Linked DNA regions of Drosophila melanogaster. The protein of the gene in region 3 interacts with the protein of the main gene of each other region in a pairwise test. Each region holds a gene or a part of one and is shown on either strand. Other genes may lie near its edges.

Region 1 (4,893 bases), on a different chromosome or scaffold from region 3:
GGTTTCCAAATTAAGCGTCTCAAGGGGTGCACATTTCCATTGTCGCTGAAAATTGTGTTTGTTGTCAGTGTTAGATAGATTTTCAAAGTCCATAAGCCATGGATGAGTTCGGCGTCTTCGATTACAAGCGCCCTGCCAGCGCTACAGATCCCGATTGGAGGACCTCGTACTATCGAGGGCATCGCCACATTACAGACTTGAGAATGGGTAACAAGCTGAACGCCAAGTTTACGGATAAGGGTATTTATGTAAAAGATCCGCTGCTGTCCGAGAAGCCGACTTCTGAGTGCATGGCCAACTATGTGTGGCAGGTGAGTTGATTGATATGCTGAGATATGTTGCACCAAACTAAAACGTGACCATGATGTTCCAGTATAACGATCCCAACGCACTTAGAAATCCCTCGCTCAACATGAAAACACAGTATATGAAACCATTTGAGGAGGGTTCCCTTCGCTTTGTAAAGCGAAAGATGAAGCCCATTTCTAGTGTCAGTCATGAGTCGTATGTACTTAAGGAGCTGCCGGAGGAACAGGAAATATTGCCTGTAACAATGCCCACTCCGGTGGTAGCCACCAAGCTAGTCATCGACCGTTCGGAGGCGTCCTTTAGCAAGTACCTTGATCCCTCCTCCACCACATACAATCTGTCGTATGTGCGCTGGGGTCCCGAGGACTTGTGTGGCGGAGTAGCTGCCCACGACAATATTACATACTGGAATTGGACGGAGAAGATGCCGCCCATCCAGAAAGTGTCCCGCGAAGAGGATCCTACAATGTGTGACGAGGGTAATACGCATAATTGCCCAAAGCGACGCTGTGAGTTTCAAAACCTCACCAAACGAGTGCCGCATTCGGGAATGGTCACCGAGGTGCGCGCTAATTTCACGGATCCACAATTTCGAAGGGTTGAATTCGATCCAGAAGTTAAGCCCATACTCGTGCACGAGGAAGTCACTCCGTTTGCGGAGAAAAGCGAATACGGCATCTACGGATCGGGAGAACCAGTTATCAAATACGTTTAGTTCTCTACACATTGTTTTGACTTTTTGTCAAGTTAATCAGATCGCTAACTTAAATTATTTGCAATACTTATTGACATTAGAACGAATAATTTTATTGCATTAAATAAATTCTGGATATTATTTAGATGAAAATTTCATTCAAATGAGTTAAAGCTGTGGGGAAGCAGATGGTAGGCGGACGTGACCAGCACTTCAGCTTCGTCCGGAATTGAAGGAATGCAGTTCTCTTGCTCCGGCGGCGGAGCCTTGGCAATGTAGATAGGAATATCATTTTGGATGAACTCCAAAATGAACTGCCGGCAGACTCCGCAAGGTGTGGTAAACCCATCTGGGTGATAGGCTACCACAGCACCCGCCGTATACTTCTTCTCGCCCTCGCTGATACCCTTGGCCAGGGCACAACGCTCCGCACAATTGCCTGGAGTGAAAGCTACGTTCTCGATGTTGCAGCCCGCGTAGATCCTGCCGCACTTCGCACGGAAGGCTGCTCCCACTTTGAATTTGCTGTAGGGCGCATAGGCACATCGACGGGCAGAAAGAGCCGCCTCTAGCAGCTCCCGGCCATCCTCACCTGGAGATTACGGTTTGATTACCAATGGCAGAGGATTCACCATTATAGCCAAGCCTTACCAACAGCACAGAACGCTACTGTGTACTCCTCCAACATCTGTGGATGTGGCAGGTTTTCGGATTCACTAGCCCGACCCCTGTCGCCATTTAGACGCGCCTCCCTGCGTGCTAGCTCGCATAGAAATCCCTCCAAGGTCATCATATACTTTCCCAGTACCTTTCGAAGATTCTTCTGGCGCAAGTTCTTGATCTTACCGCCAGCGCACTTGGTGCCAGATTGCTCCTGGCGACGAGCTAGCTTCGCCTGCAACATTTCCAGTTCCTTCATCTTCTTCTCCAGCTCTTTTCGCTTCAGCTCATCCTGTAGGTCGCTCAGGTTCCGCATGTAGCGCTGAAGGAGCTTCCGCTTTTCGGACATTTTGCAGAACTTCAAATTTTTAAAACGAAAACAATTTTTGAAAGCCAGAAGCAAATGCTGTATCTGTTGGCAATTTGTAAAACACTAATGTCAAACAAATTATTTTCTTTTTGTTTCTTTTTCATAAAAATGATTATATTATATTATTTAGCGCCATTTGAATTTTTATTACATTTATTACAGTTGATGTTCATTAAGGCATTTAATGAAACAACAACAACAACTAAATACGTTTAAAATTTTTACAAATTAAGAATGTCGAAAAAGCTCGCGCGTTTTCGACGCGTTTCGGACGCGTTTTGAACGCGCCTTTATCGCGACATCGGTCTAGCCAGTCTGTCTTATTGTTCGTATGAACATCATGATCTCAAAAACTAGAATCCAAAGGAATTGGAAACAAACCTTATAAATTTGATTTAAAAGATTGCCACTACCACAATGATCTTTCTTATTTTCGCTACTATACAAATGGCGAAATTTAATCTCACAATAATTTGGTGTTTATGAATCAGAAGTTGAGTGCATTTATCACGTCATCACAAATCGGGGCATTCCCTGCATTGCGCTTAACGTCAGCAGTTGTCAATCCAAATTCGATATCTTTAATTTATAACCTTAATTTTGATATATAATCAAAAGCGATTAAACACCTTTTCCTAGAATCTTTCACTGTGTCAATCTTTCCAGCATTTATATCCCCATTTCCTATTCATTGATCGAAAAAAAAACATTAAACACTGCTAAGTAGTGTAATTTTCTTTATTGCAAGTGATTAGATCAAAATTATATTGATTAGAGGCAGCAAGGGGTTGAGAAACAACCTTTACCTAGCTACCTTCTGCCTATTTTCGGTTCTTGCCTGCAGTGGTCGTTACTTTCGATAGGTGTGAAAACTGCTCGGCAACAGATTAAAGATTGAGGTGCACATGACGGGATCGTCACTCTGCAAAAGTTCCTGCTTTTCAGCAATCCTCGCATCGATCGCCTGGGCCACATATATGGGTATATCCGCGTTGGCAAACTCGCGTATAAACTGACGACAAACGCCGCAAGGAGTGGTGAATACATTAGGTTCGTAGGCCAAAACAGCACCTGCCAAAAATTCGGTGGCTCCTTCGCTTACGGCCTTAGCAATGGCCGTTCTCTCGGCACAAGAGCCCGGCGTAAAGGCGGCGTTTTCCACATTGCAGCCAGTGAAGATCTTTCCATCGACCTTGGCCCGAAAAGCAGCCCCAACTTTGAAGCCACTATATGGAACGTATGCCCGCTGGCGCACTTGAAAAGCAGCTGTCAGAAGTTCTTGAACCGACGGATCTGGAAGTCGAAACAATGCACGCCACGCTCAAGAATTAAACTTAGATCTTGTCAATGAGTGTAAGGAGTATTAATTTATAACATTATTATTTTTAATATCATAAGAACCACTTTGAATAATTGACAGTCGTAGATATTTAAGGATTGTTCTCAGATTGTTCTCAATCTCGAGAAGGAATCTTACCCAGACTGCCGAAGGTCACAACCTCCTCATTCTTTTCTGGACGTGCGAAATTTTTTGTCAGATGTGTCATTATAGTTCAATTCTTTTGGTCAATAGAGGCACGCCTATTTTCTTAAATTTTGAATTATTTTTAGCAAGTTGAGTGCGTGTGTTTCTCCTTTGAACGTCCGATGGCAAATGGACGGTTTGTGGTGACGGCGGCGCCCGAAGTTGGCTATGCTGATAGCACTCTCCGCCGTGTAGTGGTGACAGAAATAAACATTTGGCCAATTCGGAGCGCGAGAGAGAACCAGGTATCAGGCTGATAAGCAACGATCGCGATCGCGGAGAGCAGTGAAAAACACAAACAGATGCCGTATCTCGTATAAGCTATTCAATCAACAAATAACGAGGGGTGGGTTTACAGAACATTATAAATGGGATGTCACATAAACTATTGCACATGGATTGCACCCTGTCCGGCTGGGCTGGGCTGGGATATTCTTTTCTATTTTCCGTTGGCGAAGCTAAAGCCGTTGGGCAGCAGTTGGAGAACGCTGGTGCAGAGCACCCTCAATGGAAGATTGGTCGGCTTGGCGGCGTACAGGGGGATGTCCTTGCCGTTGACGAACTCCGAGAGGAACTGCCGGCAGACGCCACAAGGCGTGGTGAAGCCATTATCCTGCTGGGCCACCACTGCACAAGCCACAAAGTCGCGTTTGCCTTCACTGTAAAAATGTGTTATTTTAGTTATTCGAAAGGACTTGGAGAGGATAATTAAGTATGTAAGAATTTAAGTAATAGTGTTGTCATTACAGATTAACATTCCTCATTGCTGTCAAGGGTTATCTCAATATATTGAAATCTAAGTTTTTAATCCAAGATAAGCTTTACTGTGACTAACGCTTTACTTTCAGTATTTCCTGTGGATAGATCTCAAGCGATGCGTATGTGACCCAGAGAATATTGACCCACTGACCTGATGGCCTTGACGGCTGCAGTGCGCTCTGCACAAATGCAGGTGGCATACGCCCCGTTTTCGATGTTGCAACCGGAGTATATGGTGCCATCGCTGGTCCTCAGGGCGGCTCCTACGGCAAAGTTACTGTACGGACAATAAGCCTGTTTTCTGGCTTCCGTGGCTGCCAGGATGATCTCTTGAATCGAAGGATCTGCAGAAAGGACCACAAATTATAGTGACATGGCAATGTTTCACGACTTCGTACCCAGGCTCTGGAATTCCCGTACATTGAGATCGTCTCTGGCACCATTGATAAACACCTGTGTCATGGCCAAGCGATTGTTAATGAATATTTCACAATAGAAGTAGCAGCTCAGCCAATAAACACAGCACCAGTTCTCACTTCCAACGCAATGGCAACTGCTGCAACAGCTGTTCGCTGC
Region 2 (5,145 bases), on a different chromosome or scaffold from region 3:
GATCAAATCCAAAGTGTTTACGCCAGTCGTGTTGGCAATTTCTTTCTGTTATCGCCAACAATTCGCGCGAGGCAACAGCGTTAAATTCTGACTTTGTCGAATGCAAATGGAGACCATCATCGCATGCACGATATTGACGAAATGGTTTAAACAAAACTCAAGTATTGCCAGGAAAGATGGTCGTCAACCAATATCGAGTAATGAAACCAAACAATTCGATGTACTGTCCATTCTTATCAATAATTAGTTGCAACCCCAAAAACATTCCCGGCATTAACCGAATGTTGCCGCAATTTCTGGGGCAGGTCATTTAACTCGCCGCAGCACTTTCATTAGCATGAGCATTCTAATTGCCTAGCGGTAGTCGTAGACAAAACCTGATTCCGTCTCGTGATGAGGTAATAGAACCTAACAAATCGGTACACCGATCTGCTGTGCTAGAGCCGGCGAAACAGTGTAATTACCGCGAATCAAAAACATATTATTGGCTTGAATGACTCGGAAAAATACTGCCCAAATAGTGCGCTCTGCCATGAAACCGCTAGTCAGATGCTGTCCACATGTTTGTCTCCCTGAATTTTCAATCATTTGCAGTTCCACGAAGCCCGGCGACAAGCGGGCAGCATGAAATTTCTAATAATACGAATGGACATACATGTGTATTGCAGCTATCACATAAAATAATCTTCACGGGGCGTGGGTTTTTTATTTCAGAAATTAAACAAACATGTGGAGGGCGTATTGTCCACAGAGAGTCATTTGGCATAACTCCAATACTTAGTTGGGGAGTAATTAAAGGAAGTTCTTGAGGCATTACTTATCAGGCGAATATGAATGCTCTGAAGTGGAAAATCAATCAACAAAGCCAGTGAAAATAAAAATAGCACCAGGTTTATAAGCAATATTCGATAATTCGAATTGAAAATGCCCTCACTTTTTAATTAGATAAGTGAAGCCCCATTTTAGTGATCTATTGAATGCTATACACATTAAACAAACATAATAATACTAATGGTAGCCAACAAGTGCACCAATTCAAACGAAAGCTATGCACATTAACCCCTTTAATCGCGCAATTTACTAACATCTTTCTCCTGGTGACTCATTTATATATGCCAGCTAATCTCAGAGGTTAATACGAAGCAGCCAAATGACCACAAGATTAACGCACTTGAGAGCCACCGAAAATCAATACGTCACGCTGAGAAATTATGGGAATATTCAATGAACCGAATGGAAAATGGCTCAAAGTCCCAACCACCCACTGCGGAAAGGGTATGGGGGAACAGCAACTGGTGATATGGCGCACTGGCTGGCAACTTAATTGGTGGAATTGTGTGCCGAGAACGCTTGTCGAGATTGCGCTAGACGCGGGACCTTATCAGGCCCGCAGCACAATACACAACATTAATGGCGAGAGTGAAAATAATAGAGCACGAAAGGCGGTGGAAAGATCTATCCTAGGCTCTTACATCTGGCAGATACGAAATCTGCGATGAGCTCATCGAGCGCATGCATGTGCTACGCATTTCGCACTTCAAACGGCGAGTGCAACAGCCTGGTGAAGTGGCAATTTTCCAGGAGGGGTGGTGACAGCATGGGAATAAATATATATATATAGCTAGATCTCTTAAGATCTTTAAATCTACTATGCAAATAAAGCGGCAATTTCCCTAAAAAAAAAAGACTCCTAGATTTAGCTTAAAACAACAATAAACGCAAATAAAACGATTTAAATTTAGCTGTTAAATGGTCTAAAGAAACATTCTCACATTTCAATGAGCAAAACAATAAACAAAACAAAAATATTCTTAATGTGGCATTCGGTAACAATTAAATTTTCCTGACTTTGCATTTATGAAAGATCTTAGTGCTTCCAGTTCGAATGTTTTCAATAACAAAACCATATTGTTTTTTTATCTTTAAAGTATTTAGATACCTAAAAACACCCATTTCCCGAGATATATGCTGGAAAATTCCCACTTTTGATAATAAGGACCCTTCTTTGCCCATCATATGTTTCGAGTCCCACACTTGTGGCCGGAAAATAGGGGTGCAGTGAGTGTGGAGGACAGCGGAGTGCCCGCGTAATTACCATCTGCTATTGTCCAGCGTATTTCGCTGGTCACCGGATCGATGGCTGTCAGTCCGCCGCCCAGTGTGGAGAACACCATCAGCGCCTCCTCGTCGCGGGCGAGGTCCGTGCAGTCCTGCGGGTTGTGGAAGAGCGAGAGAAACTTATGAACAACATATCGGGCAAGGTGATGAAATATTCATTGGTAGTCCAGTGTTAGCCCTTAGTGGGTCATACGGCCCAGTGCCGCCCCCACTTACCGTCTTCTCATCCTCGCCGCTGCTGACGACTTCTGCCGAGTCGCCCTGTTGTGATTTTGCTGTAGCTGATGCAATAAGCCCGCTGGCCAGCAAAAATAACACGCAACAAACAACAACGCAGAATCTCATTTTGTTTTTGCAACCGGTAGGGCGCGGGGCGGGGGTATTAGAAGAGAAAAGAGAGCGAAAGAGAGAGGGAACTAGTTACTGCTATTTCCGATCCGTATTCAGTTTGCACGTTTAGTCAGTTTTCGTTTCTTGTTTGTGGCATATTATCGCCTCTTTTTCAAAACTTTTCAATCATCAAACACTGTTGCAGCTCTGGCCGTGCTAAATTTCACATTTTCTTCGCACTCGCGTTCAATATTTTCCAATTACGTTCGCCATTGTTGAGTTGAGAGTTCGTCGAGTGAGCGGAGTAGAGTGACAGTGGGCAGATAATTGGGAAAAGACCGTACTGGTTTGAAGTGTGACCAGGGAGCACGCAACGAGCCAAATATGCAACGAAATAATATCCCATTCACACTGACGCTTGAGATGGCAGCAATGGAAATCTTATTGTTACCCATCGCTGTTGCCATAAAATCAATTTAAATGTGAAAAGATCTTTTTATTCCAACATGGATAAAATTGTAACATATACGTGGTAATATAATGTGAGCTTTGGAGTTTCTGCGCTTGCAGTGTAAACTTCCCAGAACTTGTATTGACTTTGGTCGATAAAAATCGATAGGCGATCTAATTTCGATATTACACAATGCGTCTTGTTTTTACGGGTAATTGTGTTTTTAAACGCCTGCTGCACACGGAAATAGGCGGAAAGTATGCCAAACAGCAGCCGCGGAACCTCAAAGGACGGAGCAAGAGCTCCCAGGAGTGGCTTACGCGCCAACTGGCGGATCCGTACGTGGAGAAGGCCCGCATGATGAACTATCGCTGCCGGAGTGCCTTCAAATTACTGGAGATCGACGACAAATACGGAATACTGCGGCCCGGAGACACAGTTTTGGAATGCGGAGCTGCTCCTGGCAGCTGGACCCAGGTGGCCGTGGAGCGGACCAATGCCAACGGAAAGCAGGAGCGGGCGCCACAGGGAGCCGTCTTTAGCATCGACCTGTTGCATTTCCATGCTGTGCCGGGTGCCACAATCTTTGGCGGCATGGATTTCACTTCTTCGCTGGCACAAAAGCGGCTGAGGGAAGCGTTACAAGACAGAAAGGTCAACTGCGTGCTGTCCGATATGGCACCCAATGCCACCGGAGTGAGGATGCTGGACCAGGAGAGCATCACTAACCTCTGCTACGAGGTGCTGCGCTTTGCCCTGGCCATGTCTGCTCCGCAGGCCCATCTGGTGGTCAAGGTGTGGGATAATGGCGACGTGCCCAAGCTGGAGCGAGATATGCTTAGGTTTTATGAGAAAGTGAAGAGAGTAAAACCGCGCGCTAGCCGCGGAGACTCCGCCGAGCACTTCCTGGTGGCCAGGAACTTTAAAGGAGCAACGGATAGTTAATTATTAACTGCGTTTTTTGGACTAGTTGAATTAAAAGCTTTGTTAATTGACTGTAGCTTATATTGGATAGAATAACTAAAGGGAAGTAACCTAGGATTAATTTCATCTCAACATTTTTGTTGATTTTCTTTTTGATGTTTTAATCTTTGTTGTTATATACAGTTCTGTAACAAATTATATGAATTTAGTTGAGTATTAACAACCCAATGCTCTCATCAACATATTTATGCATTCAAAACTCACACCAAATTATTCATGATTAATTTTAAAAACAAAGGCTTAAATTTGGTCTCCAAATTGTACTGAATAGTTTAAGTACGCATTTCCTAGTGCTTGTAATGAGTAAGGTGATCAATCATCATGTACAGCCACTTGGGCTGATCGTGAGGAGCCATGTGCCCGGCATTGCGGACCATGATCTCCACAAGATGTCCGGCGTGCTTGACATAGCCGGCCACTTCCTTCCCAACGCGCCACACTTCGCGGGGAGCCACCTTGTACTTGTCCGAGCCGGGGAACTTTAGTTGGTTGAGATAATTGCGCGTCAGTGGATAGGCAACAATAATGTCTAGCTGCCCGCTGTAGATGCACACAGTATAGTGGGCCAGCAGTTCGGCTATCCACGGGGCCACCGAGTCCATGATATCCTTCTTCAAGTGAAGTTCCACCTTGTTCTCCTTGTCCAGATCATGGAATGTCTTATTGCCCACATGAATTGCCCGCCGAGTGGCGCCCGCCTGCAGAAATTCGCCCAAGTTGGCGCCATCATCATCATGCGTCTTCAAGTAGTTGTAGTACCAGTTGTATCCAGTAAGGTTGCTGAACAGTGAGCCATTGGTAAGGTCCCCGTTGATTAGGGAATCAAATACGTCGAAGGCGCACTCCATGTCGTGACTCTTAATGCATTCAGCACCCTTTGCCTCGGCATCGTGGAAACTCTGCAGTCCGTGCTCGTCGATCAGGCCCAGCTGGTAGAGATAGTCACCGTACTTCAGCTGATGCAGCGGATCCGAGAGACCATTTCCGATGGCCACGCCCTTGAGCGGCACATAGACGCGGGTCTCTATGGCATTTTGTACCTTGTGGATGTGGTAAGCCAGGGCGGGAACGTATTTTCCGGCATAGGACTCGCCGGTGACCCAGAAACCAGAGGAGTTGCTCCACTCGAAGAGTTCGTACAGCTGCATCACAGCCTCGTGCAGATTGCGGCCCACATCCTTCTCGTTCGTAGCATAGCCGGCATCGTTCTCTGTAAAACTAAAGCCAGTGCCCACGGGATTGTCAATGTAGATGAGATTGTG
Region 3 (7,487 bases):
TCGCGGGGCCTTCACCTCGCCCGCGCCAAATCCCAGCGAAATAACCAAATTTAATAATAGCGTGAAAAAGCACTCACCTCTTTCATATGCAATCAGAGTTCGGAGTCAGACAAAAACGGCGGAGCTGCAAAAAAGTAAACTAAATTCTGAATAATGATGGCCACGCGGAACTGAACTGAACTGGAACCCGAACTCCAACTGGAGCTACAGCCCAAGCCCAAGCCCAAGCCCAATCCGAATCCCAAACCCAAAACCCAGATCCAAGCTCCGGTTCTCTACGCTTTCTGATTACGCCGCGTAATGGTGGGAGTGGGAATGGGTATGGAAATCGGAATGGAAATGGAATTGGAATGGAGATGGGGATGGAGATGGGGATGGAGATGGGGGCTTGGAGGTGGGAAAGGAAGTGGGTGAAATTTCGCCAGCTGAATGCTGAATGCAAATCGTAATTTGGGGGCTTAACGTTTGATGGGTTTTTCATAAATGTGCAAAGGCTGAAAATGGTTCCACATTGAAATTCGCACAGATTCGCTGGCCAGTAATTCAATGATTGACCCCCTGAACTGGCTACAAAGGAAATGATCAAAGCGAAATTTATGTAAAGTATGCTTTTTAATCGGATACAACTTGTCACTTTGAAGTATTTATAAATCCAATTAAAATAAGATTTTTGAATGATAAGAAATATATTTTAACTAATTAATAATCAGCATTCTATTGTATCTTATTGAAATGAAATAGCACAAAATTTATAAAAAACTAATTAAAATTCCAATCATAATTCGCAGCTTACCACTTGATGGGCGTTTAATGAGCTCGTGAGATTCAAAGGAGGGCCCCACTTGTAAGATTTGTCAGCTAATCCAATGTGGGATTGACTTGTGATCCGCAAACGAAACTCCTTGACTCGAACGGAAGCTGGCTAATAAGGGGATTCCCTGGCTAGCTCCGATTGTCTGTGCATGAATCATGCGCAGCTTTGACATTTATGGCCTCAATTTATTTGATAAATTTCACACGCACGTTATCAATTGGCAGACGACAGTGACTCCCCCCTTCGGTGGTGGGCAATAAATTTTGACGGATTAGTTCGCTTATGAGTGGCATCGGCGAAAGGACTTCGAGGAATCCCTTGGCATCCAAAAACCAGTGGGCAAGTGGGCGAAACTATTCGCCATGGGATAAACTGTAATAATGGCCATTATTATTTATTTTTATTTTCCTCCCCGCTGTGTGTGCGGCGTATCAATTTTCATAAAATATCGATTGCCTGGTTATTGATAACCGTGGCTAAAGTCATATTATTTCCCGGTGCTCGGTTCGATGCGGACCAGATCCGGCGTGAAAATAAAACCCTCGGATTGATAAATTTTCCGATTTCAGGCCTGCTCAGGCCGTGCATTTGTCAATTTTGGCGCAGCTCGGTGGAGCGACTTCTGATTTCGATACCGGGAGTAGTCATCTATGCCATGATTTCGGCACAAATGAGATAGTCATAAAGATTATAAAATGGGGGTTGGAAGTCGAGGTAATTCAATGGGATGGTTGTGATTGTCAGAGGGAATAAATTGCCCACATTCAAACTTTTAAGAAAGTGTCTTCATCGTGGAAAATAAATTACCAATGATAGATTCTTAAAATCATTTTATTTCTACTTCAATGGACTTAATATCTGCTCATTGAGGGGTATATTTTTTGGCAGAATTATAATACTCCAAACTTACGATAATGTTTCTCGAACCAAAAGATTTGATTTGAATACCACCATAACAGCACATAGCTAGCTTTTTAATGCACTTGAATATTTAAAGGGTAGCAGGGGAGTAAATAAACAATTAGTTATCCCCATTGTTGAACCCCTTAATGAGCATTTTCCAGCACACCATAAGCTGCATTTAACCAAATCATGATAATTGCTCCAATCGAGACAATTTGCCAAAGCCAATTGATTAATTAATAAGGTGCTCGAGCTTATTCGAAGCTCGGAATAGAACCGGGAAATGATTTTGGGTGTGGCCAGGCCGCCAGTTCTTCAGTCTCTGGGCTACCTACATAATTTAAAGCTAATTAATTTTCCTGGCGCAGCTCATTCGAAATACATCAATCAAAATCCAAGTTGGGGGCTAATTGCATTTACCTGATGACGGTTTTCATTTTGGTACCGCCCCTTCTTCAGATTTTCCATCAATTACCGAACACAATCAAGAAATTACGATTTTTGTTTTGACTTGATGTTTAAAGGGATGTAGACTAAAGCTAATTAACACTTTAAAAAGGCGACGAGTAATTACTTATTTATTGTAAGTTTAAAGTTTTAAAACCGCTTATTAATTGTGATATTATTCCGTTTATTATGTTTCCATATTAGTTATGTCTAAAATGATGACATATTTATGCATGAGATACCATTCTTGGTACTGAACCTTATTTGATATGCACCTCAAATCCAAGTTCTTTTTTACACCTAATCCAAATCATACAACCCTATTCAATTATTAATTTCGATGTGTTGCCCTCTGGTGACCCACAAAGGAGACGGTAGAGTTAAAGATGCCTTGTAGATAGATAGGGTCTACGGACGTGTTCGTCTGGCCCCTCGATATGAGAATTATGGGACACGTTGCTATCGCCAAAAATCTAATGCCTAATCCTCGAAATTAATTACCTTCGCTGCACCTTTGCCACATTTCATTCAGACTGTTTCTATGAAATTAAGCGAAAAGAAAGAAAATTCCATGTAGCTGAAAGCGATCCTAGTGCCCAGATACGAGTAGCTCTCCAGACATCGTACTTATGCCCGTGCACGTTCCGTGGTGAGAGCATCAAGATAGTGTGGAAAAAAAACGTGAAGGCGGAGGCCACTTGACGCTTCCTTCGTGTACACACTGTACTTGCACTGAAAAAAAGAAATGAATGAATAAAAGAGAAGTTCCTTTTTGCAGAAGCTACGGAATATTGAAATATTTGCTACTTCTATGAGATATGGTAATTATAATATACATATATACAATTTAATTTAATATTAATCTAGAATAATAATATATGTATATAGGGCTATCATTTTCAATGTTATAATTTCTAAATGTTGATGTTTATGATATAACCATGTTTTTGAGTGTGGATTTCTTTCGTGTGGAAGTGGAACCCTCTCTGTCTATGGCTTGGATTATAGATGACCCAGGCATCGTCAACTTCATCGTCATGTAAATTTTTGAAATATAATTGGCCTAATATTTTAGCCTGTCCGCTGTCTGTTGGTAATACCCGGTCCCAGACACGTACTACGAGTGTGGCTCGAGGCCCCTGGGCAACAGGCACTTGGCTGGGTTACTTGGCCCGAAAGCCCATAACACTCGTACTGGCGCACTCATGCTGCAGGCCATGATTTTTATCAGTTTACCTTAGTTTGTGTTTGGCCAACGCACCCAATTTTCCACGGAATATGGGTGTAGCCCGTTGCCAGTTGCCTAATGTGGAAACCTCCTTCCATCCTCGCTCGTTTCGGCCCAACCCAACCCAACAAACCAACCGTACCGACCAAACTAACAAATAGCAAACAGAAAACGACACAATCCGTGCATTAGCCAAACTCAAACTCAAACTACGAAACTCCTAACTCAACTCCATGCCACTTGTTTGCTGAACTTTTGATATTTTCCAACCGACGCCGATAGTTGCCAGTTGGGATCCGCGAACCTTGGCATTTGTCTAGTCCGATGGTCGATATATGTGTATAACTGAATCTGTGGAGCAGGTGCTGCACTGAATGCGATCCGCAGCCTGGGAATATTCAATCGAGCATTTTGCCTGGCCAACCAACTATAATTATGCATTGACAGAACGCGAAAAAAGCAATTTATTATTCAAGAATGAAACTTATGCTGAGAAAATGAAGTATAAAGCTTGCTTTATGTAAAACAATCATGATTTTATCAGGATTTAAGACATATCTTTTTTCATTTTTAAGTTGATGAATCAATAATTCGAGTTCATTAGCAGCTAGAAATATATACAATTCAAAAAGATTCGTTTAATATAAAATTATAATCATCATAATTCAATAATTCCTTTACTTATAGTTGTAAAATTTAATGTACACAGAAACATTTTTGTGCCGAAATTGGCATTGCTTTTTGTAGCAGAAAACATTCCCAGTTTTCAAGGAAAATACACCCACGTTCTCATTATATCAATAATACATATATTCTTTATTTGTTGGTAACTGATGGCAAAGATGTCCAAGTCATCGCGTAGCTTCAAGCTGCCACCAGTCAGCTCCTCTTCCGTGTCCTCGGTCTCCGGCAGCGAATCCGGGCAAGGATTGGAAGACATGTTGCACGTGACAAAGGTGCGAACTTCCCAGGTGGACAACGCAGAGCTTTTCATGTACGGCGACGGGCCCAAAAAATCGAATTCAGATCTGCAGAAAAAGGTCAGTACACCCGATCCGGAAGAGGAGGTGTCAATGGAACCACCATTTGTGGCATTGGTCAGCAATTTGCCAATGGAGTGCACTGAAGGCGAGTTGCGGAAAGTGTTCACCAGTTTTTCGATCCGTTCTCTAACCATTCCGAAGAAGGGAAAGCGACCCAAGGGATTTGCGTATGTGGAAATGGATTCCCGCGAGGATCTCGTTCGTCTGCTCAAAATGGATAAGCTTAAGTGCCGTGGTCGTTGTCTTATGGCCAAAATAGGCCAATTGCCACCCGAACCACCGACAAAGGCAGCTGGAGATGGCTTTTCATTATTTACTTGTTCAGGCAGGCAATTTGATATAAACTCTAGCCATTATTCGGCCAGTGTCAGTGATCTCAGCACCATCGATTCGCCAATCTCTGCGAGGAACTCACCATTTCCTTCGGAAAGTGAGTCGTCCTTTTTCGGCAGGGATAATCCTATAAAAAGAATTCCTAGTAGCACTGAGGAAGTGGAACGCCGTATGCAAATTCGTCTTCAGAAACTAGCCGAATTCGAAAATTCTGAATCGGAGAGAATTAAGAGTGAATGCGAGGATGATCCGGATGCCTTCATGTCCTGGAGCGATGCCCTAGACGAGATTAGAAAATCTGAAACTGATTCCTCAAATCATACTGAATCCTAGCAATAAAAGCATGATAATTGAATGTTCAAAATTACAAATTTTTGTATTTATGTAATAATTAAACTTAAATGCAAAAATAGTCCATATATATGTATTAAGCTGACTGCCGCTTATGAATTATTAAAACAATAGGGTTTCGATTTATTTTCCATTTAAAACCTGAAGCCGGGAAACCCGTCCAATGTGCACAAGAATTATGGATCCAAAGTGAGCTAATTAACAAAAATGAAATGCTGTTAATGAACGGTGAAGTGTTCATTTGCCCCTTGGCAACAGCTGCAGGTTACCAAAACCAAAAACCAAAAAAAAAACCGAAATTAAAAGAAAACAATTAATCAACAATATTGACTTAAAGCTGTCAACTGAATTAAATTAAACTGATTTATTAATGTGGCGACAGTTGGGCGATTGAACCGCTGACGTCCAAAATGCGATGGTGACTGTGATTTTGACGCTCCGCCACCCAAAAAGCCGTCCTCTTTGGGCCAACAAACAAAGAGCCAAAAACAATCCAGTAAAGCATACGCTAATTGACCAACTAATTAGCGCATTTAATGGCTGCCACATAGATGTACTTTTTGGTGTATGTGAATAAAATACGGTCACCGAAACAAGAAAGACAGACTTGCTAATGAAATTAACGTAGCGTGGTTAATAGTTTTGCCAAATTTGGAAAATTGTTTTCATTAAATCGGTCGGCTTTAGTTACCCGTTCTGCTCTTGGCGTCATCTTTCTCATGCATTATCTTTATTTCTTTATTAATTTTATTTGTCTGTTAATTCCCGGTCTGCACTTAATGACTCCGGCCCTTGGAGGCACGATTTTTGCCAGCGGAAAATTACTCATAGTCCCCGAGACAGCATGGCGATGACTAAGTTGGCGTCATAAAAATTCAGCCCACTTTGAATCACCGAGAGTGGAAAATTCGGAGTTTGTGAATAGATAGGAAACTAGGCTACTAATTAATATGGGAAAAATTTTTCATTAGCTCTGATACGGTTGATTTTCGATGGTAAAAAGCCGAGTTGTTGCTTTACCAAAAAGCTTTTTTTTGCTCGGTTAGTTTTGGATACATACTAAAATCTTAAGTGTGAATTTATTAATGTAACTAATTGACTCGTTTTCGGTTTCCAAGTCCTTGGTTTATATCACTATACTGTATACCTTTTAGAGTTAATCGAGTTTCTTTTCTGGCTTTAAGGTTCCTCATAAATTTCCATGCTCGGAAAACTGATGAATCTAACTTATTTTCAATTCAGCTTTATCTAAATTTATACGTTTCTCCGTTCCAGCACTTTTGTTGCTTCAATTCATCGACTAATTGCTTGAGTTCGCTTCAATTAGACTGGCCGTTCTTCTAACAATTCGGCCGGTTGCACATAAAATGTCTGTCGACGGCTTTCTCCCTTTTGGCCTCCCGTCTATCCTTTTTTCTCGTCCTTTTCTCTTCTCCTCTCGACCTCTGTCTCTTCTCATTAACTCAACGGTGCGGACAGCCCTTTCAAATTTGGTCAGAAGCGTGGCCAGAACCGCAGTGCCACTCTAAGCTTCATTTTTACACGGTGCAAAATATTGCAAAAAAAAACTTAAAAGTAGTTGATCAAGCTCTTTAAATGTATATTTAAATATGATATTAAGTGCATATTAAGTAAATAGTTAATAAAAAAGGACTATAAATTAATTATTGGACAGTAAAAAATGTGTTAAATTGTATATTCATATATGTACTTGTTTTTCTCCATGTGTAGATTCAACTACCGGGCCAAAAGCCAGGGGCCACGTCCGGAATGCGGAATGTTCTGGCCATTGCCGTTGCCAATTTCCGGAAAATGGCAATGGGCATCACGAGCAGCAGAAGCGCCGGCCGTTGGGCGTAAATTAAAATTAAATTCAAATGGAAAAGTGTCGTCGACGCGACCTGGACTCTGATCCGCAGTCGGAGGAAGGGACAACCGGCGACGGTGTTGGAGCTAGAGGCATTGGCCATTGGCACGTCTGTCGGTTTATGCAACATTTTAGCAATTATATTCGCGTCGGGCGACATTACAACGGCAATTACACGCAGGAGCCACAGAACATGCCCGTGGGCGGATGGATGGTCACGGAGTTTGTGGGGGGTGTGCCACTCCGTCCGGCACTCTGGCATTCCGGCATTCCGGCTTACTGGCATTTTGGCATTCCGCCGTTCCTGTCATCGTCACGTGGAGCGGCAACGTGATCAAGTGACGCACGGCTCTGACGGACGACAGTCGCCGCCGCAGAGGGTCCTGTCATTGGCAGACTGGCTAAATGTCTGACTGCCTGAATGGCTGGCTGAATGGGCCACCGGCCGGTTGACTGACTCGGATGACAGGACATGGAGTGCAGGACAAAAATATTTCAGCT

What was found.
Region 1: the proteins of CG11726 (region 3) and CG8349 interact in a two-hybrid assay, tested with the Drosophila melanogaster proteins (one large-scale study listed by BioGRID).
Region 2: the proteins of CG11726 (region 3) and Mrm2 interact in a two-hybrid assay, tested with the Drosophila melanogaster proteins (one large-scale study listed by BioGRID).

What each region holds. Positions count from the first base shown.
Region 1 is NT_033779.5:8,213,105-8,217,997, reverse strand, and holds CG8349 (uncharacterized protein), read right to left. Parts: upstream 2,084-4,893; 5' UTR 2,013-2,083; coding exon 1,655-2,012; intron 1,596-1,654; coding exon 1,159-1,595; 3' UTR 1,097-1,158; downstream 1-1,096. Other genes in the region: CG8292 (uncharacterized protein), read left to right, coding at 99-311, 374-1,024; CG8353 (uncharacterized protein), read right to left, coding at 2,884-3,326, 3,511-3,580; CG8360 (uncharacterized protein), read right to left, coding at 3,998-4,217, 4,469-4,661, 4,716-4,779.
Region 2 is NT_033777.3:19,858,552-19,863,696, forward strand, and holds Mrm2 (mitochondrial rRNA methyltransferase 2), read left to right. Parts: upstream 1-3,058; 5' UTR 3,059-3,091; coding exon 3,092-3,844; 3' UTR 3,845-4,049; downstream 4,050-5,145. Other genes in the region: Ire1 (Inositol-requiring enzyme-1), read right to left, coding at 2,096-2,210, 2,335-2,463; CG4572 (uncharacterized protein), read right to left, coding at 4,171-5,145. UniProt on the Drosophila melanogaster protein: S-adenosyl-L-methionine-dependent 2'-O-ribose methyltransferase that catalyzes the formation of 2'-O-methyluridine at position 1579 (Um1579) in the mitochondrial large subunit ribosomal RNA (mtLSU rRNA), a universally conserved modification in the peptidyl transferase domain of the mtLSU rRNA.
Region 3 is NT_037436.4:11,390,546-11,398,032, forward strand, and holds CG11726 (uncharacterized protein), read left to right. Parts: upstream 1-4,144; 5' UTR 4,145-4,225; coding exon 4,226-5,101; 3' UTR 5,102-5,128; downstream 5,129-7,487. Other genes in the region: CG44362 (uncharacterized protein), read left to right, coding at 6,997-7,320.